Callithrix jacchus: one gene and its partner. The protein of the gene in region 1 interacts with the protein of each later gene in a biochemical or structural test. Links are inferred from orthologs where the notes say so. Each region holds a gene or a part of one and is shown in the gene's direction. Other genes may lie near its edges. The genes, in order: RNH1 and ANG.

Region 1 (15,176 bases):
GAGACATCCACGAAACACAGTTAAGATACATTGGTTTGGTCCAGAAAGGCGGGACCAAACAAGATTTTTGAACGTTTCCCGAGCTCAGGCATGAACTATTGCCTGATGCTCACAGAGTTTTCAGGGCGGCCCAGCGCTCTCCGAAAACCCTCCTCACAGCCTTGTGCATTTCGCCTCAGCCACACGTTACCGGCTGTTTCTGTCTCAGGTTTGCTTTATTTCTGAGTTCGGGGAATTTCTGGAATCGGGCCTGGTTGTGGGAAGGGGCAGGGCGCGTCCCTCCTGGGTGGTCGGGGCTGCGGAAGCTGGAGGGACTGAAGGCGGGTGCAGGTTAAATGGAAAGGCTGGTGGGGGCCAGACTGTGGCAAACGGGTGGGAAGTGGGACGAGCCCGGGGGCTGAGCTGAGCAAGAGGGTAAGTGGGTGTGGCCCCAGGGGACTCCCGACCCGCCCTCGCCTGGAGGCTCCGCCCGCCCCCGCCTGTGCGGAAGGAGCCCGGGGCTGGCCGGGTGAGGGTTCTGGGCTGAGCCGGCGCGGGAGGGGACAACCCTTGCGTATTTTTCTGAGGTCCCGTCCCAGCCTTTTAGTACGGGGCAGGGTGTCCAGAACTAGTGGGTTCAGGGACCCGACGCGGCGTGGGGGCAGGGGTCACAGGATCGGGACCCTTTGCGTGTCACCTGAGCGTGGCCCGGGTCTTCTGGGGGGGGGCCCTGCGCCCCCGGTGGTTGCCATGTCCACGACCTGGTCACATCAGAACCTCCAGACAGCTCCCTCCTATGTGGCTCCCCAGGGTGGGGCTCAGGCCGTGGGCGCTGCGGAGACCTCCCATAAGGTTGAGAAGGTCTGGTCTCTGGATAAGGGACCGTCAGGGCCGTGGGTCAGACTCTCGCCTCGACCATAGCAGGCTGCCAGCTGGCGGCGGTGGTGCCTGAATGTGCTTTTAGCCCTGGCTGAATAGGGGGGTGGGGGCCTCCTCCAGAAACAGAAGGGTGGGCACACCCACATGCTCATGGGGTCTTCAGTGGGCTCAGTGTCCTACACAGGTTCAGATGTGCCTTCCTGGCTCCAGGGTGCAGCCCTGGGGATACAGCACGGTCTGGTCAAGCCTGAGTGATGGGGACTGAGCCCCTCCCACAGCCCTCGTCTCAGGTGGTCATGGGAGTGCTGGCCGCTCTGGGCCCCCACCAAGCTTTCTCAGGAGGAAGACACCTTGGGGTCAGCTTCCTCTGGGTGCAGAGGACACAGGAGTGTCAGGCTGATTCAGGGAGCGCGTGCAGCCTGGGGAGCCCCCCCAAGGCTCTGCTTCCCCCTTTTCCGCCCACAGTGCCTCCCAGTGACTCAATTCTGGAGTCAGGGTTTGGGTGACCACGCCCTGGTTGGGTTTGCTCACATGCTTGGGGCGGTGGGGTGTCACTGCCCTTTGCCACAGCACCCTTGCAGGCCCGGCGCTGAGGCATGTGGACCCAGACACAGCCCTGCTCTTTCCTCCTAGTGGGTACCAGGGGCCTCTTCCCCCCATTCAGCCAGAGTGGACTGGCTGCCTCAGAACCATCCCTGGGAGGGCGTGCCAGGCACCAGGAAGCTTAGGGTTTCAGCAGCGGCCTCTGAGCTGTACTGTCGGCTGTCTTTGTGAAGGGCAGCTGGGGATTTGTCATTCCTGGAGTGTGGCCTGCCAGCTTTCTGTGGCTCTGGGATGAGAGCCCTCTCCCTACTGTGCCCGCCCCTCCCCCCAGCATGGCATCAGGACTGCTACCTCCAGGGTCCCCCTCCTCTCCAGGTTCCCGCCCTGCTGAGGCCCCCAGGCCAGTGCTTGGCAGGTGCTCTGGGAATGTATCCACCTACCAGGCTTTGGGGTAGCTGTCTCAGCCTGACCACTTCGTTCCCCAGGCCCTGGCAGGCAGGTGGGTCCTGAGCTGTGCTCTCAGGGCAGCCGGTCTTGCATTCATTCCGGCTCTGTGCCTGTCCCTCAGGAGGTTTCAGGGTATGGCAGCTGTGCCAGTCCTGGGCGAGCCTGACAGCCAGGCCTCTGTAGGCTGGCATGCTGTGGGGCGGGGGGCGTGCTGTGGGGCGGGGGACGTGCCCTGGCCTGGTGAAGAGTCCCTAGCCCCAGAAGGGGACATGAAAGCTGACACCCCAAGTGCCTACCCCACCTGCTCCGCCCTGTGCGGGCACTGGCTGGTGCCCCTCCTGCCAGCTGTTTCAGGGCCATGGAGCCTGGTTGTGTGGGAGGTGCTGGGGTCCAGGATCCTGGCATCCTGGGAGGTCTTGGGCTCTATGGGCAGCCTGCCTGGCCCGCCCAGTCCACTTCCCCTGAGTGAGGCACAGGCCCCGTTGCTCCCCTGCCCGGGTCTCCGACCACCCATCCCTACCCTGTCCCTGCCCAGGCAAATTAGAGGCCAGGCTTCCTGGGCTGCTGCTGTCCCTGCCTCTGTGGGGCAGGAGGAGGTGCCCACAGAGGCTGGGCTGGCATCTGTGTCCCCAAGCTCTGCTGCCCATGGTGGCCTTTCCAGGGGTGGGTCCTGGCCCCTGCTCCTGGACAAAGGTGGGAAGCTCCTGAAGAGGAAGTGCTGGCCCGGGAGAGGCTGTGGCTCCTCCTGAAGCATCAGCCTTGTGGCAGAATTTGCAGACTCCCAGCTGGCAAAACTGAGGGGATTCCGCCAAGACGTTCTCTTCCCTCTGCCCCTAACCCAGGCTACTCCCGACCTCCGCCATGAGTGTGGACACGCAGTGCCTGGACATCCAGTGTGAAGAGCTGAGTGGTAGATGGGCCAAGCTGCTCCCCCTGCTCCAGCAGTGCCACACGGTCAGGTACACTTGCCCTTGGGGTGGCTTTGGGGCACTGGCAGGGGCAGGTTTGCGGGTGGCAGCTCCTCTGAAGGTGTGCTTCTGTGGAACACCTTGTTTAATAGATGGGCAGTGTGAATTCTATGCAGCCTCCACGTGTGAAATGTGATTCTTGTATTGCTTTTCAATGATTTAGGAATGTAAAATCATTCTGGGCTCATGCAGCGGGCTGAGGTGGGCGGGCACCAGCCAGTGGGTCTCTGGCTCCAGCGTCCTGGGCCCTCTCCCTCCCCTGGAAACACAAGGGGCAGGACACAGCTTGGGTCCCCTTAGTGGGCATCCGTGGGCACTGGCTGTCCCTGCCTAGCTTGGGGCTGGGAGTCCTCGGCCCTCAAGGTCCTCACAAACCCAGCGGCTTCACAGCAGGAACAAGTGCCTGCGTGGGCCTCATCTTTCCTCTCACTGGTTATTTGAAGTCGTGTCAGGCTTGCAGAGGAGTTGGGAGGATTGCACGGCTCTCCCCTGGTGAGGCGGTCCTGTGTGTACGGGGACGATGGCGCCAGCCCAGCACCTCCAAGCAGTCTCCTCTCCCCCGCCCTTTTCCTCTTCCAGTCCTCTGTCTCCATGGCCCTCTCCCAACTGTGACCGTCCCCTCATCTCTCCGGGTTCTTGGTGGTCCGAGTGTCTGGACAGGCAGACGTGGGGTGTCCTCTGTTGGGGTGTCTGATGGTTTCCCATGGTTGAACCCACGCACTTTTGGGAAGAACTCGGGCGCCTGCCGGGCCCATGCTGACGCCCTCCCCTGCGACGTCACTGCTTTTCCTTCTGTGACTGATCAGTGCCTTCGACAGATACTTTAAATTCTTACGTTTAGGGACAGGGCCTCGCTCTGTCACTCAGGCTGGAGTGGCTCAATCATGGCTCACTGCAGCCTCGCCCTCCTGGGCTCAAGTGATCCTCCTGCCTCAGCCTCCCGAGTTCTGGTGGCGGAGGTGCTGGCTGGTGGGGCTACTGAGGCCCTGCTCACTCCTATGTCTGCGTTCCACCTGCCTGCCATGTTCGGCATGCATCAGAGGCTCCTGCCGGACGGTGGTTCCTGTGAGATCTGTCTCGTTAGGATTTTGTACTTTTTTTCCTTTTCTTTCTTTTTTTTTTTTGAGACAGGGTCTTGCTCTGTCACCCAGAATGGAGCACAGTGGCTTGACCTCGGGTCACCACAACATCCACCTCCTGGGTTCAAGCGATTCTCCTGCCTCAGCCTCCCGAGTAGCTGGGACTGCAGGCGCGCACCACCATGCCTGGCTCCTTTCTGTATTTTTGGTAGAGATGAGGTTTCACCATGTTGGCCAGGCTGATCTAGAACTCCTGACCTCAGATGATCTGCCTGCCTCGGCCTCCCAAAGTGCTGGGATTACAGGCGTGAGCCACTGCAGCTGGCCTGAATTCTTCTGTAACTTCTTTCTTTTCTCCTCAATTTTTTTTTCAGATGGAATCTCGCTGTCACCCAGGCTGGAGTGCAGTGGCGTGATCTCGGCTCACTGCAACCTCCGCCTCCTGGGTTCAAGAGATCCTCCTGCCTCAGCCTCCCTAGTAGCTGGGATTATAGGTGCCCACCACCACGCCTGGCTAATTTTTGTATTTTTCGTAGAGATGGGGTGTCACCTTGTTGGTCAGGCTGGTCTCAAAGTCCTGACCTCGTAGTCCGCCTGCCTCGGCCTCCCAAAGTGCCTTTTTCTCCACATTTATCAATTGTCATTCTTCTGTGAGCAAGGCCTGGTTTTCCTCAGTTACTTAAATATCAACTGTATTTATTTAGTTACTCATTAATCACAAAGCACCTGAGTGTAGAAGCTGGTGTTACTGTTTATTTGCTCCTGTGTCTAAACAGCGAGCCGCGTCCCGTCCGGGCAGCTCCCACAGCTGTTAACTCAGGTTTGCTTTTTCCCTGGAGACAGACCCAGAGGCTAGTGTTAGGCCCGGCACGTCTGCCCGCGTGCAACATCTGAGAACGTTCGGCTCACGTTTCGTTTCTACAATGTCCCTTGTGACTCGCCTCGCTGTCTTCTGGGCCCACTGATGGCCGTCCCTGCGCGTGGGGGGCGGTGGGGTCTGAGGCCGGCGCCAGCCGTGGCCCGCCTGACCCTAGGTTTTGGCCGCAGGCTGGATGACTGCAGCCTCACGGAGGCCCACTGTGAGGGCATCAGCTCTGCACTCCAGGCCAACCCTGTGCTGACGGAGCTCAACCTGCGCAGCAACGGGCTGGGCGATGCTGGCGTGCACCGCATCCTCCAGGCCCTGCAGAGCTCCTCCTGCAAGATCCAGAAGCTGAGGTGAGGTGGGGCTGGCACCACCTCTGCCCCGTGCGGCCTGTTTGGTAGCCCGGCAGCAGGGGACGGAGCCACCAGGGGTCGTGGGCGGGCAGGTGGTGGCATTGGGCACTTCCGACATCAGCCAGAGGCAGACAGGCCTAGTGGCCTCGCAGTGGTGGGACAGGGCCCCTCCTGCCTTGTCCCAGCCCCTGCACCCAAGGTCTGCCCCTGCCTGCAATCCCCGGGCTTCCGGCATCACCGGAATGCTGGTGTCCACGGAGGCCTGAGCCTCTGGCTGGCTCTCCTGGACCCATGCTGAAGGGGTTTCTGCAGACAAGGCCTCCTTGGGCTGAGCCACACGTGTGCCCCCTGCTCCCGGCCGGCCTGGAGACCCCAGATTCCGTCCAGGGAAGGAGTAGGTATAGGCCTGCCGTTTGTAGGGCACCACTCTGGGCTCTGGGCTCCGGGCTCCGGGCCCGTGAAGTGGGCGGTAGCTGGCTCCGGGGAGCCCTGCTGACAGCCAGGCCTGTTCCAGCTTCGAGTGCTGCAAACTGACAGTGGACGGCTGCAGGGTCCTGTCTGGCTCACTGCGCTCCCTGCCCACCCTGCAAGAGCTGAACCTCACCTGCAACGCCTTGAAGGATGCAGGCCTGCAGCTGCTCTGCGAGGGACTCCTGGACCCCCAGTGCCACGTGGAAAAGCTGCAGTGAGTGTGTGCCCTTCCTGCGGCTGTGCTCCCTGCTGCCTGTCCCCTAGCAGCCCCTGCCAGGAGAGGAGCCGTGATGAGTGGACTCAGGTCACAGGGTCTTTGGGGGGCTCCGTCGTCACCCTCCCACCCCCTCAGTTGCCCTTGGCAAGGAACAGCTGTCCTGGGACCTGACAGTGGGAACAGATGTGTGGCCTTGAGTCAGGCTGCACTCAGCACCCCAGTGTGTGGGGGGCACCCCGGTGTGTGGGGGGCCTGGCCACTGAGTTGAACATAGCCGGCATGGAAGGTGGCCCGGCCCTCCAGAGGCTGGCTTCTTTCTCTTGGGCCTGGTTGGGTTCCAGAGTCTGAGGTGGGTCCGTTGGTTAGTGAGGGGTTTCCAGAAGGAATGCCAGTGACCACAGAGGCCTGAGCCTCTGGCTGTCTGTCCCTGACCAGCCACCTTGGATGAGTCTCTAGGGGGCCCTCAGCACTCCCAGCTGGTGCCCAGGCAGGAGGCTGGGGGGAAGAGACGCCAGCACCCCCACACTCCCTGGCATCACGCCCTCGGCTGGCACACATTCCTGTGTGGTGCTGAGCTTGGTCTGCCTCGCAGGCTGGAGTTCTGCAGGCTCTCGTCTGCCAGCTGTGAGCCCCTGGCCTCGGTGCTCAGGGCCAAGCCGGACTTCAAGGAGCTCACGGTGGGCAACAACGACTTCGATGAGGCCGGCATCCGTGTGCTGTGCCAGGGCCTGAAGGAGTCCCCCTGCCAGCTGGAGACGCTCAAGTAGGCACTGGGCCTTGGGCGGGGGGTGCGGGGTGTGGGCGGGGGTGTCCGGTGTGCCTCACACGTGACCTGCACCCCAGGCTGGAGAGGTGTGGTGTCACCTCGGACAACTGCAGGGACTTGTGCAGCATCTTGGCCTCCAAGGCCTCCCTGCGGGAGCTGGCCCTGGGCCACAACAACCTGGGCGACATGGGCATCGCGGAGCTGTGCCCGGGGCTGCTGCACCCCAGTTCCAGGCTCAGGACCCTATGGTAAGTCACCTCCCTGAGGCCTCCTCCCAGAGGGTCAGGGGCTCAGGCCATCCTTGGAGCCCTCCCCCGACACCTGGACTTGCCTCAGGCCATGCCACAGTGCTGAGGAAAGTCCCTGGGGGGGTCTGTCTCCCACAGGATCTGGGAGTGTGGCCTCACCGCCAAGAGCTGCGAGGACCTGGGCCGTGTCCTCAGGGCCAAGGACAGCCTGAAGGAGCTCAGCCTGGCTGGCAACAAGCTTGGGGACGAGGGTGCCCAGGTGCTTTGTGAGAGCCTGCTGGAGCCTGGCTGCCAGCTGGAGTCGCTGTGGTGAGTGTGGCTGGCGGGATGGGACCCTGTCACCCAAGAGAGGGTCAGGGTGACCAAGGCCAGGGGAGGTGCTGGTTTCAGCTCTGACCTTCAGAATGCACGGCCCAGGAGCAGCCCGTGGTTTGGTGGGGACACTGCTTGGGGCTGAGGACCAGCCACAGGTGCCCACAAGCTGGGAGGCTCTCGGATGTTTCTGCTCAGGTCAATGTGGGGCCTTTAGGGGAAGGGCCGGTCGCAGCTGTGGGCCAGCCTGGGCCCCTTCCAGGCCTCAGTCCTTGTCCGTGTCCACAGGGTGAAGTACTGCGGCTTGACAGCTGCCTGCTGCTCCCACTTCAGTTCAGTGTTGGCCCAGAATAAATTTCTTCTGGAGCTGCAGATAAGTGAAAACAGGCTGGGAGATGCAGGTGTGCAGGAGCTGTGCCAGGGCTTGGGCCAGCCTGGCTCTGTGATGCGGTCACTCTGGTGAGTGTGTGAGGGACATGAATATGCATATTTGGGAGGTCGTGTGTGTGTGTGTGTGTGTGTGTGTGTGTGTGAGAGCACGAGCATCCATGTGAGAACACGTTTGTAAGAACCTGGGTGTTCATGTGCTGGGGAAGGCAGCATGGCGGCACCATTCTGGCTTCTTGCAACTTTGATCAGAGTCAGAGACAGAGGTCTTGGTTCATGAAGCCTAATAGCTTTTGGGGCTCCAGCGTGCCCTGGCCACCCTGTGGTCCATTTTCCTGGAAGTCCCGCCCACCTTCCTGCCATGCAGGAACCCAGGGTCAGGATGTCTTCCCAGGTTTCCTCCCTTTGTTAAAGCACGTTGTCTTGCAGCTTCCTAAGAACAGGTTCTGCAGAAGGTAATTATTGGAGGCCTGCATCTGCTCTGCCCTTGGGTCATTCAGCTGGGTATAGAATTCTGGGTTACAAATTCAGCTGGGTATAGAATTCTGGGCTACAGATGTTCCTGTAGAATTGGTAGGTGATGCTACATCATTTTCTGGCTTCCAGAGAGGACTTTGCTGTTCTGATTTTTTTTTTTTTTTTTTTGAGATGGAGTCTTGTCACCCAGGCTGGAGTGTAGTGGCGTGATCTCTGCTCATAGCAACCTCTGCTTCCCGGGCTCAAGCCTCCCGAGTAGCTGGGATGACAGGGGTGCATCACCATGCCTGAATAATGGGGCTTTCACCATGTTGCTCAGGCTGGTCTCAAATTTCTGACCTCAGGTGATCCACCTGCCTTGGCCTCCCAAAGTGCTAGGATGCCAGGTGTGAGCCATCATGATCTTGTGTGCACGATGTGCTTTTTCTCATTGGCAGCTTTTAAAGATGTCTTTGCCCATTGTGTTTGGGGTTCCATGTGCTTTGCCTTGATGTGTGTCTTGGTTCTTTTATTGTGCTGGATACTTGGCTGTCCTAAGTATCACGCCTTTGGTGATTTTTCCTCTCATTTTTTTTTTGAGAGTTTCACTCTTGTTGCTCAGGCTGGAGTGCAGTGGTGCGATCTCACTGCAACCTCCGCCTGGGTTTAAGCAACTTTCCTTCCTCAGCCTCCCAGCTGATTTTCGTATTTTTAGTAGAAATGGGGTTTCACCATATTGCTCAGGCTGGTCTCGAACTCCCGACCTCAGGTGATCCACCCGCCTCGGCCCCCAAAGTGCAGGGATTACAGGTGTGAGCCACCATGCCCCGGTGTGCCCGTGAGGTCTCCTGGACTGGCCCGCTAATTGTGTTCTCCAAATGTTCTGTCTCTTCGAGGTTTTGTTCTTATTTCTGGGAGATGTTCTTGTTCCTCAACCAGTCTACTGAATTTCCACCATCAGTGTTTTGTCTTTTGTGTGCTGCTTCACCTGTGCCTCTCGCCAGGGGCTTTCCATGGGTGGCCGGGCACCAAGTGCAGAGTGAGGCCCGGGAGCCCTGGGCAGCGGGCTGGGCAGGCGAGTCGTGGCTGTGTTTCCTGGGGCGGGGGGGGGGGGGCTCTCAGGACGCCATCCTGGCTGCCAGGACCCTGTGGGCCTTCCAGGTGGGGCATGGAACCCTGGGTCCTGGTCACTGCAGGCCTGTCTGCCTGAGCCACTGCCAGGGTGGGGGTCCTGCAGCTTCCCTGGCTCCCACTTTGTAGAGGCCCAGCACAGCTCCTTGGCCTGGCTCCGGCCGGATGCGGCTGCACCCTGGGGAGTGAGTGCTGGGTTTTCTCCACTGTCTTTTGTCTGGCCTGTACCCTAGTCTCTCTCGGGAGCCTGAAGTCTGTTGTCCACTGTGCCTTCCTCAGAACCCTCCACACCCTCGTTTCCCCACAGCTGCCCCTCGGTCTCCGTGGCTGGCTTCTCCTCTTAGCCCCACTTGGCCAGGCAGTGTTGAGGAGGTGGGGAGCGGGGGGTGGACGTGGCTCTGTGGGTGGACATTGTCTTCCTCTGGTCCTTTCTGCCCCTCGTGGGAGGAGAGAGTTGCTCAGGGAGTCAGTCTGCTGTGCCCTGCCAAGGGGCTGCGTGCTGGCCTTGTCTGTGGTGGGCACCTGCCCAGGGCCACAGAGGGTTACCGCCACCTGCTGGCAGCTTCCAGTGGGTTCTATGGGAAGATGCTTTTCGAGCAGCACAGTAGCAAGAGCTGATAGAGTTCACAGTCACCAAGGTGGAGTGCCGGTCTGAGGGCGGCCTTCCCCAAGAACTGGAGCAAGGTCCTACAACGCCTTTACCAGGAGCAGTGGCTCTCGCCCCAAGCCTGCCACACAGCGGGTATCTTTGCGATACTGAACGCTGCCGCCTGGGCCATGGGTTCTTGTCCTGGCATAACTGTTTTCCCTTAAATCATGCTCTGCGCCATATCTGCTCTAGGCATTCCTCCGATTATGAGCTGCTTATTCCTTAATTCATGCTCTGTACTGTGTCCACTCCAGGCATTCCTCTGACCATGAACTAAGATATAATTATATATATATATATATATATATATATATGTAGGGAAATATTCTTTAGGCACTCCTCATACTATCAACTATTATATGATTACATATAGGGGATTATATCAAGGGATTCTTCAAGCCCTAATTCTATAAACTAATATATGATTATGTAAAGGATTATATAAAAGGAAATAGCTGAGTAGTGACACTGTACAGTGAGATATTCCTCAAGCCCTAACTGTGCCAGGGTTCTGCTTAGCTCTCATTCCTCGGGGCCTATATGGGGGGTTACCCACACACCTGACCCCCACCCTGCTCTACCCAGGCTGGGGGAGTGCGATGTGACTGACGTTGGCTGCCTCAGCCTCGCCAAGACCCTGTTGGCCAACGACAGCCTGCGCGAGCTGGACCTTAGCAACAACTGCATGGGGGACGAAGGCATCCAGATGCTGCTGGAGAGCCTGCGGCAGCCGTCCTGCCACCTGGAGCAGCTGGTGTACGTGCCTGTGCGGGGCGGGGGGCGGGGGTCCGGGGGGCGGGCTGGGTGAGGACACCTGCCTACTCCTCCCTTCTGGCCTGTGTGCAGCCTGTACGACATCTACTGGTCTTTGGAGATGGACCGCCAGCTGCAGGCCCTGGAGAAGGAGAAGTCATCCCTGAGGATCATCTCCTAAGCCGCTTCCTGCCCGCCAGGCTCCTGAGACCCGCTCTCCCTGGACAGCCTGGCCTCGAGGCACCCCTGGGCTCTCACCCTGCGTTTCCTAGATTTGAAGAGAAATGCTCAGATCAGCTTATTTCTGCTAGTGTATTTTGGATACTTTACAATCATTAAAACACTTTCTTGGCAGGAGGGGCTCTTTCTTCCTGGGGTCTCTGCGAGGGTGCTGGTGTCAGGCTCCTGTTCTTCCTGGGGTCTCTGAGGGCGCTGCTATTGGGCTCCTGTCCTTCCTGGGATGTCTGAGGATACTGGTATTGGGTGCACCACGCCACTTGGTATGAGCTTCTCTCTTGACATGTCGCCCAGGCTGGTGCTTGGTCTTGGCCTCCTGAAGTGTGGGCATTACAGGTGTCAGCCATTGGCCTGGCCCAATAAAGCCCTTTTCAGTGACCTGAGGCTGGGCGTGGTGGCTCACGCCTGTGATCCCAGCACTTTGGGAAGTAGGCTGGGGTGGGCAGTTCACTTGAGGTCGGGAGCTTGAGACCAGCTGGGCCAACATGGTGAAACCCCATCTTTACTAAAAATACAAACATTAGCCAGATGTGCTGGCAGGTGCCTGAATCGCTTGAACCTGGGAGGTGGAGGTTACCTCGAGCTGAGATTGCACCACTGCACTCCAGCCAGCTCAAAAAAAAATTAACAAAGTAACCCAGACTCTTAGCTTCCTAATCAGAGGACCAAGGCTCTTTGGGGAAATGGCTGGTGCCAGGCCTGCCTGGGGTAAGAGACACCCAGCGTGAGCCTGGAGTGGCTGATGGTGTGAGGAACCGGAGCCTGTGGGTGCTGTCTGGGCCTGAGGAGCTGCCAGGAAGGCTCCCAGGGGCCGGGTGCCAGAACACAGGACTGATCACAGCCCCCTGCCCACCCCTTAGGGAAGAGCAGACAGTGACTGAGGAAGGCACCACCTCTACCCACCCAGACACATGGCTCAGTGTGAGCAGGGATGCAGAGCATGGAGTGAAGGGGAGGTGTGGGGACTCATGAGGTGTGAGGGAGGGGAGGGGCCCCCGCAGTGGGAAGACCAGGTGAAAACTGCCACCTGTTCCTCCTGGGGGGTTCGAGCTACCACCCGCACAGAGTGGAGTGCTGAGGCCCTGTGTATCCTGCAGAGGTGGACAGGCACGGTGGGGCCAAAGGTGTGAGTGACCGTAGGGAAGGGACTTGCTGGGTGTGAGGCTCAGTGGCTACAGGGCACCATCCTGCTGAACCGGGGAAGCTGCTCTTGTCTCCTCATTCCAGCCTCATGACTTAACGGGTTGAGACTTTCCCCAAAAGCAGTAAAAGTAAAGCCCTTTGAAGCCTGGGGCCCGAAGAAGAGCAGGGGGTGAGGGTGCAGCTGGCTCCCGGGACCCCCCAGGCTGTGTCCAACCTACCACTGACACCCCCTACCCCATGCCCACAGTGAAGAACAGCACCCAGGAGACCCTGTAACCTGCGACCCACACCCCATACCCCATGCCCACGGCGACCCCTTTTCTCCCCACTTGTGTTTGCAAGTTTTCATGGTAAAGTTTTAAAAATAGTGGTCTGGCCAGATCCCAGCACTTTGAGAGGCCAAGGCGGGTGGGTCACCTGTGGTTGGGAATTCAAGACCAGCCTGGCCAAGCTGGTGAGCCCCATCTCTACTAAAAATAGTAAAATTAGCCAGGCATAGTGGCGGGGTACCTGTACTCCCAGGTACTTGGGAGGTTGAGGCAGGAGAATTGCTTGAACCCGGGAGGCACAAGTTGCAGTATGTGGAGATCACACCACCACATTACAGTTTGGGAGACAGGACAAGACTCCATCTCAAAAAAACTGGCCTGAGAAGGCAGTGCCCCTCCCCAGAAATCCTGTGTCCACTGGCCAGTGGTCACCAGCTCAGCCTCCCAGCAAGGAATGAATGCAGCAGGGGGTGGGTGGACCTGGACCCTCTTGGATCCCCAGCTGTGCCCCCACCTGCTCTGCTCTGGGAGGCCAGGCGGGCGCTAAATCCTTGCTCAGGCTGAGGCTGACCCTGGTGCCTCCCGTCCTTTGTGTGGTTTTCCCCAAGTGGGCAGTGGGCATGAGGGCAGGCTGGGGGGGGCTGCACCAGACCCCAAAGCAGGACACGGGGAGCTGGGGGGAAGGCTGAAGCCTCGGACTTCCATCACTTTATTGGTTCTCTCTGCTCATGAAGATGACCCTCGACTCAGCCATGGAGGCAGCAGGGCCCCGGCTCTGACTGGATGTCCCAAGAACCAGTTCAGTGGCCTCTACCCCTGTCCACACGTCCTCCAGGGCAGTCTGTGAAAGGAAGACTCGGAGGAGATGGCTCAGCATCGCTGCTGGATCCGCTGCTCTCGGCCACGGAGTGTTTGTGGACGATGCCCCACAGGTGCTGCTGGGAGGTGGATGTGGGGCCAGCATAGGCTCCTCTGGGCCTCAGTGCACCTGGGGCCCACAGAGTGCAAAAATGGTACCGAGATGTCCCTGCCTGGGCCATGCCACAGCTGGGTGACAGGGAGCTTGGTGGGCCAGAGGCCACGGGGCTGACTGGGCAGAGGGGGAGGGAGGACATGGTTTCTGACGGACCTGCTGTCCCAGAGCACACCCTTGCCACACCAGCCAGCTCCCGCTCTGGAGAAGCCTCGGAGCCAAGAGCACACGTGCATGCCACAGGCGGCCACACAGCACACACACGCACACATGCGTGCACACGAAAAGAGGCTGCGCCGGGGCCGCCTCCACCCTCACCCTGAGCCTCGCCAAGCGCACGGGAGAAAGGGAGAAGAAAACCTTGAGGGCAAGGCCAGGCACGTGGCTCCCGGTGGGACTCACATGGGAGGTGGCCATGGAGGCCGGGGCTCTGGGAGGCTCGTGAAGCAGCCATGTCCCAGGTCAGTTTGGAGCCGGTGCTCCCTCGCCCTCTGCCGCCCCGGGCCCCAGCAGGTCTTCGTCCAGCCCTGGTGGGTGCTGGTCCCCATTGCCGACGGCGCTGCCCGGGTCGTCTCTGTTCTGCTGCTTCTGCCGCCGGGTCTCCTTGTACCTCAAGGTAATGTCCCTGGGGGCAGGGGGCGGCGTCACCACCTGCTCCCACACTAGCCCCCATGGGCCCAAGGACACCTGGCACCTTGTCCCTGTGGAGGTCCAGGACAGGCTGGGTGGGGGCCGGGTACCCTGGCCCTGGATGGCAGCCGTGGCCTGGATCCCTCCATGCAGAGTGATGGCCCGAGGGCTGGTTCAGGAAAGCCCCAAGCGGGTGCCTCCTACCGGACAGTCTCACAGAGGCAGCCAGAGGGCCGGGGCACGGATGGTGAGACACCAACACCACGCAGCTCCTGCAGCCCCTGTGCCAGGAGACCCAGAGAGCCACCCTCCTTCGGGACCACCCACCATACTCACCGCAGGAAGAAGCGCCAGATGGTCCAGGTGAGCACCAGGATGGAGCCGAGGGTCCAGCACTGGGAGATGTAGAAGGGCAGGGACAGGGTGAGCGTGTGGGGGTCATACTTGACCACGATGAGCAGCTCCGTGGCCGTTATGGCTGCCACCAGCCAGGCCTGCTGGCCCAGCTTCTTGTGGGGCTTCCTGCAGGGGCGGCAGCGGGCTCAGCATCCCCAGCCCCACAGGTCCTGCAGGCGGCCTTGCCTAGGCCCAGCCTCCTGAGCTCTGTTCCCCCACCCCCGCCCACAGGGGCGTCTCCACCCAGCTCTCGGCAGCCCTCACGGGTCATCCATGAAGTCGTAGATCTCACGCATGGCCACGCCACCCACGTTCACGAAGAAGACGAGCCGCAGGAGGACCAGGTAGTGCTCCGGGGGCATCCACAGCACAAACTTCAGGTAGAACGTGTTCAGTTCCGCCAGCAGGAACTAGCGGGAGGAGGGGTGAGCACCAGCTCTGCTCGGGACCCCTGCCCACCACACCATCACGAGGCAGCCCGGCCTTACCACCAGGATGATGCCACACACGGCCAGCCAGCGACGCAGGCTGGAGGCCGGCTTCCACTCAAAGCGGACCCAGCTGTAGGGCGTGAACTGGAAGGCGATCCTCTTCATCTTGCCCCTGGGGACCACAGAGCCGGCAGCCTGAGGACAGCAGCCCACCAAACCCCGCCCTGACCACTGTCAGCTCTGCTCCCGGCCACCCGGCCACACCCTACGCCATCAGACCAGCTCTGCTCCCGGCCACCCGGCCACACCCTACGCCATCAGACCAGCTCTGCTCCCGGTCACCTGGCCACACCCTACGCCATCAGACCAGCTCTGCTCCTGGTCACCCGGCCACACCCTATGCCATCAGACCAGCTCTGCTCCTGGTCACTCAGCTTCACCCTACGCCATCAGACCAGCTCTGCTCCCGGCCACCCGGCCACACCCTACGCCATCAGACCAGCTCTGCTCCCGGTCACCTGGCCACACCCTACGCCATCAGACCAGCTCTGCTCCTGGTCACCCGGCCACACCCTATGCCATCAGACCAGCTCT
Region 2 (15,661 bases), on another chromosome or scaffold:
CATATACCGCATGTTTTTTTTTCCTGAGGATGTCACAGTTGTCTCTGACCCTTTTCTCTTCCAGTAGGGTTGACCTTCTGGGACTTGATGGTAGACCCACTAGTTTGATAGATACCTCAATCTATCAACGGTGAGCACAGTGTTGCTGGGTGACCCTTAGGACTCAGAGCAGTCTGTGAATAAAAGTGAAAGAGCTCTGGAAGGTGGGGGTGCAAAGGGTGTGGCAGGGAGGGGCTGACTGGGTCACAGTGCAGAAGCAAGGGGAGCTTTGTGCTGAAGAGTGTAGGTCCCTGGACTATGGGGAGAATGAATGGGCTTGTGGGTGTGTTTCCTGGCCACAGTACAGGTGTGGAAACCCACGTGATCAGGACAGGTTTCTCTGGGTTTTGACTGGGAGAGTGTGGGTGGATACTAGTTGGAGACTGCAGGGCCTTTGACCAAGGCACCAGGTGCAAAAGGATCTGGCATTTCCTTCGAGCCGGAATCGAACCAGCGACCTAAGGATGTCCACAGATTACTATTCAATCTACAGTCCTCCGCTCTACCAGCTGAGCTATCGAAGGGTGCACGCTCTGAGAGCTGCGTCATTGGACTTTCTGCAAATGGAAGAAGCTAGGTCCCTGGAACGCTAAACACACTTTCAGTTTATTGGAACCCGCCCTAGAAGAGAACTCTGCGCCGGTAGCCACCGAGCCCCTTTCGGGGCGGAGCAAATCCTCTGGGTGTGGTTTCCTCGCGTCCCAGGGTGCTGATAGCCAAGATCCAGTACTGGAGGCTCTCACTTGGGGCCTTCCTCCACCTGTGCATCTCCCTGTTTACAAGTGAGGATGACAGCCCTCAGTGAAAGAAAATAAGAGGGTGAGAGGGCTCGGGCAGAGGGCTGGGCGAGGTGGATGGGTGGATTCTATGGGACAGAGCTTGCTGGAGGAGGAAACAAGAACCCGCGAAGATTCTGGATGGGCGGCCACTATCCGCAAACCAGCTTCAGGGTCTGCTGGAAGTCTTTGCATAAAACTCTGGCCTTCCTACTCCCTTCTCTGCCAGCACACACATGCCCTTTCTCTCGACGTGCCCCCGCCTTTTCCCCCCTCTCAGTGTCCTATGCTCACCTTTTGGCGCATTAAAGTGTGCGGGAAGTGAGAGAATAAATGGGACTAGGTGAGAAGATCTCGCCCAGGGCTTGCAGATGCACTGTGATACCCTTCCTCCTCAGTGCCCCCTGGGGCTTGGCTCGCCTCCTCTGCAAACCGACCAAAAAAATTTTTTTTTTTTTTTTGCCCCCAGAGGCTGCCTCTTTCTGAAGTAGGACAAGTACATCAGTCCGTTTTCACGCTGCTAATGACATACCCAAGACTGGGATGAAAAATAGGTTTAACTGGACTCATATAAACTCTCAGCAAATTAGAAGAGTCTTTTCTCAATCTGATATAGGGCACCTATGAAAAACTTTCAGCTGACAATATACTTAATGATGAAAGACTGAATGTCTTCTCTGTAAGCTTAGAACAAGCAAGGACCTCCGCTTTCATTACTATCATCAGCACTGTATGGAGATTCTTGAACATTGAGTAATGCAAAAAAATTAAAATGGAAGTCATCCATGTTTAAATGAAGAAGTAAAACTGTTTTGTTCTGAGAAAACATGAAAGTCTATGAAAAAAAATCCTATGTAATCTACAGAAAGCTTCTATAATTGCTATGGTTTGAATATTTGCGTCCCCTCCAAAATTCGTGTTGAAACGCAGTCCCCAATACAGCAAGTAGTGAGAGGTGAGGCCTTTAGGAGGTGATTAAATTATTAGGGCTTCTAGTAAATGGTATTAAGACCTTATAAAAGGGCTGGAGGGAACTAGCTAGGCTCCTTTTGCCTTCCCATCCCTTCCACCATGTGAGAACACAGTGTTCATCCTCTTAGGAAAACAGCCTTCAAGGCACCATCTTGGAAGTAGAGACCAAGCCCTCCCCAGACACGGATACTGCCAACACCCTAATTTTAGACTTCAGAACTATAAGAAATAAATTTCTATTATTTATAAAGTACCCAGTCTCGGTTATTTTGTTACAGTAGCACAAAGGGACTAAGACAAAAATTAAAAATGAATTTAGTGAAGTTGCAAGATAAAAGATAAATATTAAAAATTAAATTGTGTGGGCCGGGCGTGGTGGCTCATGCCTGTAATCGCAGCACTTTGGGAGGCCAAGGCAGGTGGATCACGAGGTCAAGAGATTGAGACCATCCTGGCCAACATGGTGAAACCCCGTCTACTAAAAATACAAAAAATTAGCTGGGCATGGTGGCGCACACTTGTAGTCCCAGCTACTCGGGAGGCTGAGGCAGGAAAATTGCTTGAACCTGAGAGGCGAAGGTTACAGTGAGCCAAGATCGCGCTACTGCACTCCAGCCTGGTGCCTGGTGATGGAGTGAGACTCTGTCTCAAAAAAAAAAAAAATTAATTGTGTGCATATGTGTGGGTGTGTATATATATATTTTCTTTTCTTTTCTTTTTTTTCTTTTTCAGACAGATTCTTATTTTGTTTCCTGAGCTGGAGTGTAATGGTGTAGTCTGAACTCCTGCCTCAGTCTCCTGAATAGCTACGAATACAGGCACTCACCACCACACCTGGATAATTTATTTTTATTTTATTTGTTTATTTTTTGAGATGGAGTTTTGCTTTTGTTGCCCAGGCTGGAGTGCAATGGTACAATTTCAACTCACTGCAACTTCCGCCTCCCAGGTTCAAGGAATTCTCTTGCCTTAGCCTCCAAGGTAGCTGGGATTACAGGCATGTGCCACCATGTCCAGGTAATGTTTTGTATTATTAGTAGAGATGGGGTTTTACCATGTTGGCCAAGCTGATCTCGAACTCCTGACCTCTGGTGATCCACCCACCTTGGCCTACCAAAGTGCTGGGATTGCAGGCATGAGCCACCTCACCCAGCCTCACCTGGATAATTTTTAAAATACATTTTTTGTAGAAATGGAACTTTGCTATGTTGGCCAGGCTTGGCGTATATTATTTTATAAATTGTATATACATATGTACAATTGTATGTACTAGCAATGAACTGTCAGAAATTGATATTTTCAAAAGCAAGACACCCTCCCAATATTAAATTGGGACTCCAAAGAGATATTCCCCTAAGGTAAGGCCAAACAAGAAGTAGACCTATATCTGTTCTCTTACTTCTAGTAATTGTTGTGGAGTTCAGCAGATATAAGTTGAGCTTAGCAAAGGAAAACAGAAAATGTGATGAGTTTTTCTGAGAAACTGTGACCACAGGTCAGTATTCTGATTTGCAGCTTGCGTTTACGTATCTTGGAGGTCCAGAGAATGCCTGGCCATGAACGTTGTTTCAGGTCCTCTTGGGCTGATACAGCACCAAGTGCCTGGGAGAAAAAAAGTAATATATATATTTTGAAAGGAAGATAACCTTCATCTTGTCCTCAAAAACTCACTGCATGTAATTTTGCAAAGACATCAAGCAGTACACATTCAAAGATGACTAATTTTATAAGAAAACAAAAGAACATGAATTGACAAAACAACATGGCATAAAATTCAGATATTAGGAGTATCAGTAATATATATTAAAATGATTATAATTACTGTGCTTAAGGAAGTAAAAGACAAGCTGGAAAATATCTGCAAAAAATAGGAATTAAAAAAATTGGCCTAGTAGTTTTGAAAAACAACTAGAACTTCTAGAATGGGAAATTACATTTTAACCAAAATAAATGACCAAAATAAGCAGAGATGTAGAGAGAATTACTGATTAGTGTTTTTTTTTTGTTTTTTTTTTGAGATTGAGTTTCGCTCTGTCACCCAGGCTGCAGTGCAGTAGCATGATCTTGGCTCACTGCAATCTCTGCCTCCTGGGTTCAAGAAATTCTCCTGCCTCAGCCTCCCAAGTAGCTGGGATTACAGGCGGCTAATTTCTGTATTTTTAGTAGAGAGGAGTTCACCATGTTGGCCAGGCTGGTCTTGAACTCATTATCTCTTGATCCACTCGCCTCAGCCTCCCAAGGTGCTGGGATTACAGGCATGAGCCACCATGCCTGGCCACTGATTGGTATTACAGGTAAGAAAACGTTATCCAGAATGCAATATAGAGGAAAAGACAAAGAAATATGGAAGAGAAGTTAAAAGAAATGGAAGACAAGGCATGAAGCACTAATAGATGTTTAATCTCAGTTCCAAAAAGAGAGAAAAAAAAATAGAGTAAAAACAATGTAAGAGGCTGGCTGGTCTGAATGCAGTGGTGTTTACAACTAATTGATCACAACCAGTTACAGATCTCTTTGTTCCTTCCAGTTCCACTGCTTCATTTGACTAGCCTAAAAACAAACAAACAAACAATATAGGAGAAGATAATGGCTACTATTAGCTAAAATGTATCCCCCCTAAATTCATATGTTGAAGCCCTGATCCCTAGTACCTCACAATGTAACTGTATTTGGAGATAGGGCATTTAAATAGGTGATTACGTTAAAATGAGGCCTTCAGGGTTGGTCCTAATCCAACCTGACTAGTGTCCCTATAAGGGAAGTAAATTTGGACACAAAGAGATGCCTTAGGGTGTGGACAACAGAGGGACAGCCATGTGCCGAGGGCAGCCAACTCTAAGTGAAGGAGAGAGGTCTCAGAAGGAACAAAACCTGCCAACACCTTGATCTTGGATTTTTTACCTCCAGCACCGTGAGAAAATGAATTTGTTAAGTCAGCTAGTCTGTAGTATTTTATTACGGCAGCCCTAGCAAACTAATACAATGAGAATTTTCCAGAACTAAAGAAAAACAGCAGTATGTGGATTTAAGAAAACCCATACTCAAAAACTTGACACTGATACCATATTTGGAAAAACATGGGTTTTCCCTATGGTATCATGTACTCCTGTTTTGTTTCTAAATGTCAGGCTTCAATGGGTGAGGCATCTGATTGGTGGAGCCTAGGTCCCATGCCTATTCCCAGCTGCAAGCTGGGAAAGCAAGTGTTCTAGGACAGACTTACTTATAATACATGAAATAGCCACATGTAAGGAGAATTTTTAAAATATGTTGGAAACACACTAATATAACAGACGCCTATAACAGGGCTATTCAAAGCTTATATTCTAGTCTCGGCTGTTTTCTCTGTATTCTTTTGCTTCAAGAGTGCATAACCCGTAGAACTCCTAATTTAATGGATGAGTTATGCAATTTGATCAATTCATCTATCAATTCATGGAACTCTAGACACAAGAGTATTTTGGCTATCACACAATTCACATCAACTGCTCCGTTTTCAACTGCTCCATCTTCATCTTACCTAAATCCTAGCATCACCCCTCTGCCTCTCCAGATACCCTGAAGAGATAGGCTTCTTTTTTTCTGCAAGTATTATCTTGCTTCTTCAAGACACCTTTGAGGGTCCCCTCTCTTTCCTTTTGATTGTGCTTCATATTTACGTTCAGCAGAGTCTCCCTTAGCTGTATCGCTCTCATTCATCCCTTCCTTTCCAGTTCCATAACGATTACCCTTTTGCAGCTTTCTGTTGGAGCGTCTGCACCATGCCAATCAATCACTGGTGTTTCTGACTCTGGTTGCTCCTCCCTTCAATTTATTCCGCAAACTCATCAATGTTTGGTTAATTTCTATTTTCTTCTCACCTACTGCACCAGCCAGTGTTACCTTGAATGCCTCAGTCTTTCCCTCGGACTTTGCCCGTAATTTTATTCTACCAGGGACCACCCTGCTCCTATTTTTGTCTGTCTTAACTTCCCTTTGTAGTGTAGCTCAGGCCAGTGCTCTCTTCAAGACCCCTCCGGATGGCTCAGTTTGTAAGTGTGAGGACCTTGGCATGGCCACTGCTCTTTTACACCTGGCACAGCTACTTTACATTGTTTTCCTTCATGAAAACTAAAGTTCTTTTGTTCCACAAGACTGTGACAGTGACTTCAGGATAAAGATCATATCTGGATCCCTAGTTCTTAGTGCAGAGCCTAGCACAGAATTGGAATGCAGTATTTGTTGAACGAAGGAATGAATTAAACTGAGAATTAATGAATGCCTGCTCGGCGCTGAGACTCGTAGCTGTGAGAAAGGTCTCTGCGTCCAGGGAACTTGGAAGAGGCAGGCAGCTGCTGGTACGAAGTCCTGAGTCAAGCAGGAAACAAAATGCGGATGTCAGCAATTTCAAGTGAGGCCTGTGGTGGGCTCCTTCCTCTGCTGGTTTTCTGTTCTTAATTTTCAGTCTGAAGTGGGGGAGTGGAGAATCTTTCTGTGTGTTAGACTGTGTCGCGTTGGGCAAACTTCTCCACTCTTAGAATAGTACTGGTCGCTGTCACTGGCCTTCACTTTGCACCATCCCCAGCAAAAACACTGAGTCTGCGAACTGAATTCTAGTGGTTGGAAAATGGATTGAAACATCAAGGCTTTGTTTAGTTTCTATACTCAGATATTAGAAGCCTTGCAAATGTTTTCCTTTTCTATGAAAGAAAGAAAGGAAGTTTCTGTGAGGCCCTATAGCTCAGGGGTTAGAGCACTGGTCTTGTAAACCAGGGGTCGCGAGTTCAAATCTCGCTGGGGCCTTATAAGTTTGCTTCCTTGAATCAGGTTTTTCTTTAAAATATTCCCCTGCTCGTCATTCTGAACTAAGCCTGAGGAAATGTGGCAAATTATAGCTTCTTGCTTCAGTCCAGAGCTTCCAAACACCGTTTCCTTTAGGTTCCGGTAGTAACGCTGCTCCGTCGCCTGGAATGCGGCGGAATCCATTACACCAGCGGTGGAAATCGCCATCAGCTTCTGCGACGCCCTGGCTTGAGGACAGGTGGCGAGAGCCCAGCTGGCTGCCGAAACCAGTGCCCCAGGCGGGAAATGGGGGCGACCAGGCGAGAGAATAGCCCCTTAAACTATTCTTACGCCCGGGGTCTGAGTATTTGGAGTGGAGATCAATGTTCCCCTTCCGAAACGGGAAAAGCCAGCGGTGGCTGCTCGGGTTAAGCGTCCGGAAGATAGATGCCCGCTGTGCGGCAAGGTTTCATGTGCCAGTGGGGTTTTGGGAAATTAAGGGCCCGACTTTAGGGGCGAGACTTGGGTCACTAAATTTGATTCTGACGCAGAGAAATGTGGCCTTCCTTTTGAATGGGCTAAAATTATTTTCTCCAAAAGCGAATTCTCACAGAAACATTGGGTTTGCCCACACGTCCTCTATTTCAGGGGTTCCCGATCCTCGGGCCTGTTGTTAGGAACCGGGCCGCACAGCAGGAGGCGAGCTGGGGCGCGACCAGTACCGGTAGCCTGAGCTCCGCCTCCTGCCAGATCAGCTGTGACCTTAGCATCTCACAGGAGCGAACCCTATTGTGAACTGCGCATGCCAGAGTTCGAAACTGCACGCTTCTTAAGAGAATCTAAGTAATGCCTGATGATCTGAGGTGGAATAGTTCATCCCGAGACCATCCCCCAACTCCCCCCCTCCCCAACCACTGTGGGTGGAAAACTGTCTTCCAGGAAACCGGTTTCTGGCGCCAAAAAAGTGGGGACCACTGCTCCATTCCACACCCTCTCCCTCCCGGGTCTATGGACGTGTAAGCAGAAGAGCCGAGATTGGGAGGGGATCGCAGGAAGTGAGGACACCAGCGAGCCCGGGCCTGAGCCCCGAGGCCCGCCCTCTCCGGCGCTCACAGTTGCGCAGTCAGAATTGTGTGCGTCCCACTGCCTCAGCCCCAGTGCTCCGACGCCCAGGTGCCGGTCCCCACCTTACATACAAACACACAGATCCGTGCCCGCGAGGCCTCTGGGTCCCCGTCCAGTGAGGCCAGCAACCCTCGGGCACCCAGAGGATGTGCAGCCTCGGGATACCCAGGTTCCGGGGGCGACTGCTCTGCTTGGGAACCCCTCAGTGGAGCAGGGGAATCCAGCTTTAGAAAGGTTGTCTTCAGAACCTCGGACTCAGGACGTTCTTACAAGCTGGCTTTGCGACGCTGCAGTAATCACTTTTCAGATCTTAAGAGATTTCTTTCTTTCCAGTCTCTGGTTAAGGATGTCTTGAACACGGATTTGTAGAAAACACGTCTCTGCGCTCCCTTCGATAGCTCAGCTGGTAGAGCGGAGGACTGTAGTACTTACTGTGTGGCCATCCTTAGGTCGCTGGTTCGATTCCGGCTCGAAGGAGAAGCTGCTGTTTTGGGGTTAACAGTTGCTCTCGGTTTGTCCAATAAATCTCTGTATGTTGACATGAGGAAATCTCTTTATATCCCTTACCCTGTCCCGAAGGAAACAGCAACGAATTGAGCTGCGTTAGTCATACCTTGAAAAGTCGGATACTTTTCTGTGAGACAGAATGGTCCAACCGTTGCGGGGGAGGCACTATTATCTTAGTGAAGTGTGTTGTATTTTGGCTTCTGGATTATACATAGCGCGCTCCTGTCCTCAGGCTCAGTACCCTACAGCCTTGCAACTGAGCTCCGCTCTGGCCCTCGATCTCCATCTCAGTCCCCTCCAGGTTCCCTCCAGGCTGTAGCGGGGCTTAAATCTTTATCACGGGCTCGGTGAGACTCAAGCATGTGACCTAAAATCTAAAAAGCTGCCTCTTCTTACCCCATCCTGCGTCTGTATCGAGGATAATAAGCGAGGGTAAGGCCAGAGCCACACGTGAAACTTGGTAAAGGTGGAAGGAATAACTAAATAAGGCCAAAGGAAATGCCACAACAGAGGGAACAACAACAAAACCTTCGGAACAGGAGGCGGTCAGTTGCTGGCGGAAAAGAGAAATTCAGCATCATAAGAAGGAACCTCAAGTCACAACGGCTCGTTGGTCTAGGGGTATGATTCTCGCTTTGGGTGCGAGAGGTCCCGGGTTCAAATCCCGGACGAGCCCGAAGTGGTAATGCTTTTCCACACCATTTTGGCAAGTACTGAACAAAGTTTTAGTTGGAGTTGAAACACAAACCGTCTCGCGTTAGGCTGCCCTGCCAAAGAAAGCAGCACTAAATACGTGGCAGATGGACTGCCGACCAGTGTCAAGACCAAGTTTCATGGGTTCCTGGACGCTCAGCCAGGGGTCGTCTCCGAAAGGCCACCTGGCTCTTGGAAACAGAAGCCAGTTTCCCGCCATCTGCTGTCCGTGGAGGCTGTGCCCTCGCGGCTGCTGCCCTCTGGGTTCCAGCTGAGGAAGGGGCACGTGGATCTCAGGTTCGTTTATTGCCTGGGCTGCCCCCCTACGGCCTTGGGGCGGGGGCTTCTGCGGCGCCAGGTCCAAAGCGGATCCAGGAGGGAGGGGCCTCCTCGGAGAAGCGGGGCGCGGTCCCACCTACGCAGAGGCTGACAGGCCGACCCTCCTCTCCTCACGCCACACCCATCTGCGTCCTTGTCCACACAGTCACCCCACGGACGCACGCCAACCCCACCCAGATACAAAGTAGGTTTCCAAAGAACATCTTTGCGTTTTCTTCCCAGCTTCCCAGCATCGAACTAGGGAGGAAGAAGCGGTTGAGAAACAAAACTTCTTTTCACTGTGCTGCCCGTTTCTGCCGACTTGTTCTGAGGCCGAGGTGGGTTCACCCTCCTGCTCTTCCTCCTCTTTGGTAGCTTCATCCCCCCCCCCACTTTGGCGGGGGAGTCCCTTCCTAGTAGAGGCAGTTTGGGTCTCCCCCGGGAGGCATTTGCGGGACTGGGCTGGGAGAGGGAGGAATGGGGAGGGAAGTGAAAGTCCAGTATTTGTGTGAATTCACGACTTTACATTCCCACTCTACTTTTTACTTTGCGCAGCTGGGCCGAGATGCCGCTTCTATTGGTTAGTAGGCTCCGAGGGGGACCTAAGGGAGGCCCTGGGAGGCCTGCACTTGCCACAACTAAGGAAGCTTTGCTTCTTATTCAGGTTAATCACCCGATTTTTGAAGCAGGCTTTCGTTTTTTGCAAGCGTAACTAACATTTGGGGATTGTTGTTTTCTCCTCTGCCTCCCCACCCCTAACCTACCCTCAGCCAGTGTTGTGTAATTCTTAGAGACTTTTGCCAACAGCCTCTTCCTAAGCCTTCCTACTGGAAGGTTGGGATCCTCCTTTTTCTCTTTCTGAGACAGCACATCAAGTGCTAACAGCAGCACATGGGTAAAGCGCAACATCTTTATTAAGGAAGGACAGTAAAAACAATTTCATCACCACTCAGGGGACTAGGGAAATCTCAAATGAGCCAAGACCCTCCCTCGTGACAGTAAGAATCTTAGAGTCAAGTCATAATATATTCACTAGAAACCCAAGTGACATAATTATCTGCAGCACAGGACCACCTTCCAAGAAGCAGCCTCAGGTCTTCAATGAGTTATTAACCACAGAGCCACTAACTAGTTTTGCAGGAGGATAGGTTTATTACATACACTTCAATTCAAGCAATTCTTTTACTGATGAGAAGCAGAGTAAAATATGTTTTGAATTTATGGTAATAGTCAGTGTTGGCTTCCTTTAAACAGCAACTTTTAGTGGCACCTTGAAAGTTAGCTTCGATTTTCTAGAAAGTACTAGTATGGAATATAAAACTTGTGTGGGCCTGGTGCGGTGGCTCACGCCTGTAATCCTAACACTTTGGGAGGCCAAGGTGGGTGGATCAGGAGGTCAGGAGTTTGAGACCAGCCTGGCCAAGATGGTGAAACCCTGTCTTTACTGAAAATACAAAATTAAGATGGGTGCTCCAGCCTGGGTGACAGAGCAAGACTCCTAAAAAAAAAAAGTTGTATGGTGCATGTAAAGGTTCTAGTCCCACAAATGCTATGAGTTTCTTGAGCAATACATGTCTCTTTCTCTGTTCCTCAGTTGCCTCTTCTTTAATATGAGGGTTGGACAGACTCAGAGGTCCCTCCCACTCTTGTTCTATGACTGCATGGAGTGGTGCGATGTTAGTAACAGGACACGAGGCACTCCAGTAATGTGGAGATGAACTATGGTTTGGCAGAGAGGATGGAAAAAACCATCCCAGCAAAAGAGGAATGGCTTTAGCTATTGTTCAAAGCAGATAATCAGGTTATAAGCAGGAAAGAGGAAGAAGTTTGTCAAGTTGTTGCTGGAAGCATTTGCCACTGTGACTCAAATTAAAGTAGATGGATGAAAAAGTGGACCAATGCAGGCCAGTCCAACCCTTCCTTAGAAGTTTTTACTTAATCTGTATTTAAGTATATTCTCTGTGATTATCCGTAAACAGTTATTCTCAGAAGAATGCCCTGAAATACCTGGGAAAGAAGGAATGGGGACAAAGAGGGAATGGGCACAAAGCCTGGAGTTGGCTAAAAAGTAAACTTTTAATTTTTGCCTTTGATGGAAAAACAGGCATGTCAGCAGGACTTTGTCCTCACTCTCTTTCAATCAGTAGTGTTGTCGCTTCCTGGAGCCATGATTCTACTTTTCACGTGGGCTTTTCCTTCTTTTCCTGTGACTTCTGTTATTGAATAAGTTTCATGCTTATAGACATAAAATGTTAGAGTTATGAAGAAATTTAGAAATTATTTGTTCATTCCTCCCATCATCTAATTTTATAATTAATCCTAAGACGGAATGAAACATATATACTCTGTATGAAGAAGGAAAGTGCTCCAATGCTAGAGTCCTTGGAAAGAGTACCCATGCATCCGTGTCTGTGTGTAAGGACATTATGGGCTTGAGGGAGAGAGAGAAAAAAATCTCCAGAAAAGGGGATGACTTTCAAGTTAAAGTGGTCAGAAATTTTTTTTTTTTTTTTTTTTTTGGAGATGGAGTCTCACTCTGTCACCCAGGTTGGAGTGCAGTGATGTGATCTTGGCTCACTGCAACCTCCACCTCCTGGGTTCAAGCTATTCTCCTGCCTCAGCCTCCCTAGTAGTTGGGACTACAGGTGCCTTCCACCACGCCCAGCTAATTTTTGTATATTTAGTACAGATGGGGTTTCACCATTTTGGCCAGGCTGGTCTCGAACTCTCGACTTTGTGTTCTGTCCTCCTTTGCCTCCCAAAGTGCTGGGATTACAGGTATGAGCCACCCTGCCTGGACTGAACATTTTTAAAATAGATTTTTTTTTTTTTTGCAATTGGCAATTCCTTTATATGGATTAAAATTATTGACAAAGATGCAATATTCCTTAATCATAGAATATAATTCCTTGTTGTATTTTAAAACACAAATGACTGTGTGCATAGCTGCATTCTAATGAAATAGTAATTTTTCCCCCAAACCCTACTTTTTGTTTCAATAAAACTTCATTGCGCCAAGTTTAAAAGAAAAACAAAAACTGTCTTTTTGCATTGTGGGCAGATTGTGAATCCTCCAAAAGTTGTCCAGTGAAGGCCCAGAGGCACAGAAGGGAACTGACTATATTCACAGGCTGCTGGTTTCCCCACCCCAGAACTACTGCAGAACTCCAAAATCAGAGGCTACTCTGTGTGAGTTGGTGCTTGAATTGGTGCTTCAAGCCATGGGCACATTGGATTGCATATTGCAGGCGCATTGGATTGTATAATGCAGCAGTCCTTTTCTGGTAAATCACTCAAAAGTGGGTGTTTTCATTGACCAAGTTATCTTAGGCTGTAGGAGTTGGCTGCCGTATCCATCCAGGACTGCTGAGGCAGTTGGGTGTTGCAATGAGCCTGTCAGCTCTCCTCCCTAACAAATGAGTGGTTGATGACTTTTCAGAGCTCAGCTCTTCAAAGTCTGTTGAAAAGGAGATGTGTGATTAATTTAAAATAGTTACCACTCACAGATGCAATGTTTGCTCACAGAAGGAAACTGAGCATTTGAGTACTCTGTCAGATGCAGGGAGGAGACCCACTCTGGGCCCCACTTCCCATTGCTTTTCTTTGTTCCGGAAACACTTCGGACTTTGGCATTTGGCAAAACAAACTTTAGTGTTTACAGTACTGGTCAGAGACATGCTTGCTCTTTCCCAGAAGACTCTAGTACCCTTGAGGCACCAGGGACTGAGGGAAAGCAGTTTAAGGCCATTTGCTTAGTCTTCTTCTCACTGCTAACCTTTTTCTTTTTAGCTCAACATTTGCTTGGGGCTGCAGAGAGAGAGAAAGAAGACAAGGAAATAAGTGAAGCTCAGGCAGGATGGTGCCCCAACAAATCTGAAAAATAAGTGAAGTTCATCCCTCCCTAGGTTCCGCCTGCTGCCCACTTTTCTTTCTCCTCAAATCCTCAGTGCCTTTCAGTTACCAAAACCTGTTCTTAAGGATGAGCTCTAAAGCACATGCCTAAAGATGTGTAAATTACAGACAGCTGTTGAAAGAATTTACCCTCCTAAGGATTTTTGCATTGGGTGAGGACCAATACCTCAAGAATGAAGGCATATCAGTAGGATTCCATAAAAGTAGCGCTTTGCTGGGAACCTGGGAAGCTCTCCGCTCTGCCTGGGAATCATGATGGCCTTATTTTGTAACTACTACCAAACCCAGTTATGTCTGTAAGCCTTTAAGAGAAGCCAGGAGACTTCACATGGGCAAGGTCTCCAAAGTGAGATCAGATGGTGCATCCTAGAAACAAGGGATCACAAACACAGTTTGAGTGTGGGGTGTGGTGATGTGCGCTTGTAATCTCAGCTACTCAGGAGGCTGAGGCAGGAGGATTGCTTGAGCCCAGGAGTTCCAGATGAGCCCTGGCAACATATTGAAACCTCAAAAAACAAGTTTGGGATGAAGTGTTAGTCACTGTTTTAAATTCTCAGAATAGAGAGTCAGTGAGATCAATTAACTAATAAAGGAGTGATGGTTAATGGCCGATTTCTCTGGTTACAGCAAGGTGAAGTAAAAGTAGATCCATCCCAGCCATGTTATGAGAACTCCAGATCAGCTCACACTCTTCTCTGAGCACTTTTGAAGTTCACAGGATGTAGAAGTACTTGCAAATTAGCTCCTTTAGCCTACACAATGAAGCTGCCTTTTTGCTCCTTTTCTGCTCCAGCTCCCTGTGTGAGATCTGTCCCTGCCACACAGAAGGGCTGCTGAGAACATCTAAAGATGCCCATGTCCTTTTCCTTTCTGGGAGAGCAGATGGTCTGGCGTCATGCTGTAGCTCTTGTGTCCAAGACTTGCCTCACCCCAAGAGTACCCTCATGTGGGGAAAGTACTTTACTCCGCCCTACCTCTACATCCTCCCCTGTCAACCTTATGGTCTGTTTCTTTACACTGACTTCCTATGTGTTTTCAGAATCTTACAGAGATTTCAGGAAACAACCTTTTTATTTATTCCAGTTTTTATTGAAGGGTCCTCTCTTAGGGCCCAGGAAGTTGCATAAGAAGGGAATGTGCGGTGGCTCACGCCTGTAATCCCAGCACTTTCGAGGCCGAGGCAGGTGGATCACGAGGTCAAGAGATTGAGACCATATTGGTCAACATGGTGAAACCCCGTCTCTACTAAAAATACAAAAAATCAGCTGGGCATGGTGGCACGTGCCTGTAATCCCAGCTACTCAGGAGGCTGAGGCGGGAGAATTGCCTGAACCCAGGAGGCGGAGGTTGTGGTGAGCCAAGATCGCGCCATTGCACTCCAGCCTGGGTAACAAGAGTGAAACTCCGTCTCAAAAAAAAAAAAAGAAAGAAAAAAAGGAGGGATGTGAATGGCACACAATGAACCCCTTTCCCAATGCTGCTCTCTGGCCTTCATATCTTTCTCCTGCCCTTCATCTTGTTTTCCATTAGGATGAATCCTTTCCCAGGGGCATCACAGACTCTTATGCAAATAGGCTTCCCTCAGGTGGACTCACCAGCTTTTCAAACACGCACTTTGACATACCTGAAACCGAGTCAATGCAGCCACCTTGGGACCCCTACTCCATGCTTGTCTCATTGGGGATATGTACTGGGCACAGTAAATCTGCAAGAAAGAAGTGAGCAACCCCTCCAAGGATTGGATGGGACAGAGGAGAGTCATTTGGGACTCAGAGGTGGTGTTGCTCAAGCTGAGTCTGGAAAGACAGGTCAGTTTTCTCCTTGCATATGAAGGGTTCAAAGTCTGACTCCACCATTCATCTGTTATTTGATCTTGGAATTTCCTCATGAGCAGAACATATTTACGTAATGCCTGGCTCACACAGTCCTAGTTAAAGGTAGTTATGTATGTGAGAGCTTCACAAAACGGGAGATCACACTGAATATTATAATTATTGTGATTTCAAGTGCATTTGTCTTATGGACAGGCAGGCTCTCTTTTCTTGACAGCTTCTCAAGAGCAATCAGACTGAATAATTGGAGGTAGGCAGATGACAACAGAAGATTGAGGATTTTTAAAAAGGTAACACCATCCTAGATCCAACACCACGGTGGGCGAATGCTGGGGGTCTGTGAAACAGTTGGTATCCTGCTGTTGTCTGATATTGGGAACTATAAGATTTATAAAGTTATCCTGGCAACCTTTGGCCCACTGTTTTTATGCAAGCAATGGATCTGAAGCCCTGCTGTGATGGTGGAGATAAGCCATTTTGTAATTACAAGGATCAGAAGATTGAATCTTCAGGGTTAGTCTCTTGTGGACAGGTAAAGATGGAAGAAGCAGCCCAGGAAACATGGAAAGCCTAATTCTGGGGGTTTGAAGCTCAGCAGTTGAGTGGGTACAACCTCAACCACAGGCAGTGTACTAATAGCTGTCACATGACCTTCTCTAGACGTGCTTTCCTGGCTCTATGAAATTGATAGAATAACCTGCTTAGCATCCTTTCATGAAACCAAAT

The links.
Region 2: the proteins of RNH1 (region 1) and ANG are reported together in a solved structure, tested with the Homo sapiens proteins (3 studies listed by BioGRID and IntAct, with this or other methods). The link is inferred for Callithrix jacchus from reciprocal best matches to the Homo sapiens genes RNH1 and ANG.

Annotation. Positions count from the first base shown.
Region 1 is NC_133511.1:131,392,700-131,407,875, forward strand, and holds the end of RNH1 (ribonuclease inhibitor), read left to right. Parts: 5' UTR 1-208; intron 209-2,690; 5' UTR 2,691-2,709; coding exon 2,710-2,807; intron 2,808-4,942; coding exon 4,943-5,113; intron 5,114-5,627; coding exon 5,628-5,798; intron 5,799-6,393; coding exon 6,394-6,564; intron 6,565-6,644; coding exon 6,645-6,815; intron 6,816-6,953; coding exon 6,954-7,124; intron 7,125-7,415; coding exon 7,416-7,586; intron 7,587-10,335; coding exon 10,336-10,506; intron 10,507-10,596; coding exon 10,597-10,684; 3' UTR 10,685-10,857; downstream 10,858-15,176. Other genes in the region: PTDSS2 (phosphatidylserine synthase 2), read right to left, coding at 13,588-13,750, 14,092-14,277, 14,416-14,561, 14,640-14,754. UniProt on the Homo sapiens protein: Ribonuclease inhibitor which inhibits RNASE1, RNASE2 and angiogenin (ANG). May play a role in redox homeostasis. Required to inhibit the cytotoxic tRNA ribonuclease activity of ANG in the cytoplasm in absence of stress.
Region 2 is NC_133509.1:55,336,163-55,351,823, forward strand, and holds the start of ANG (angiogenin precursor), read left to right. Parts: upstream 1-8,946; 5' UTR 8,947-9,529; intron 9,530-15,661. UniProt on the Homo sapiens protein: Secreted ribonuclease that can either promote or restrict cell proliferation of target cells, depending on the context. Endocytosed in target cells via its receptor PLXNB2 and translocates to the cytoplasm or nucleus.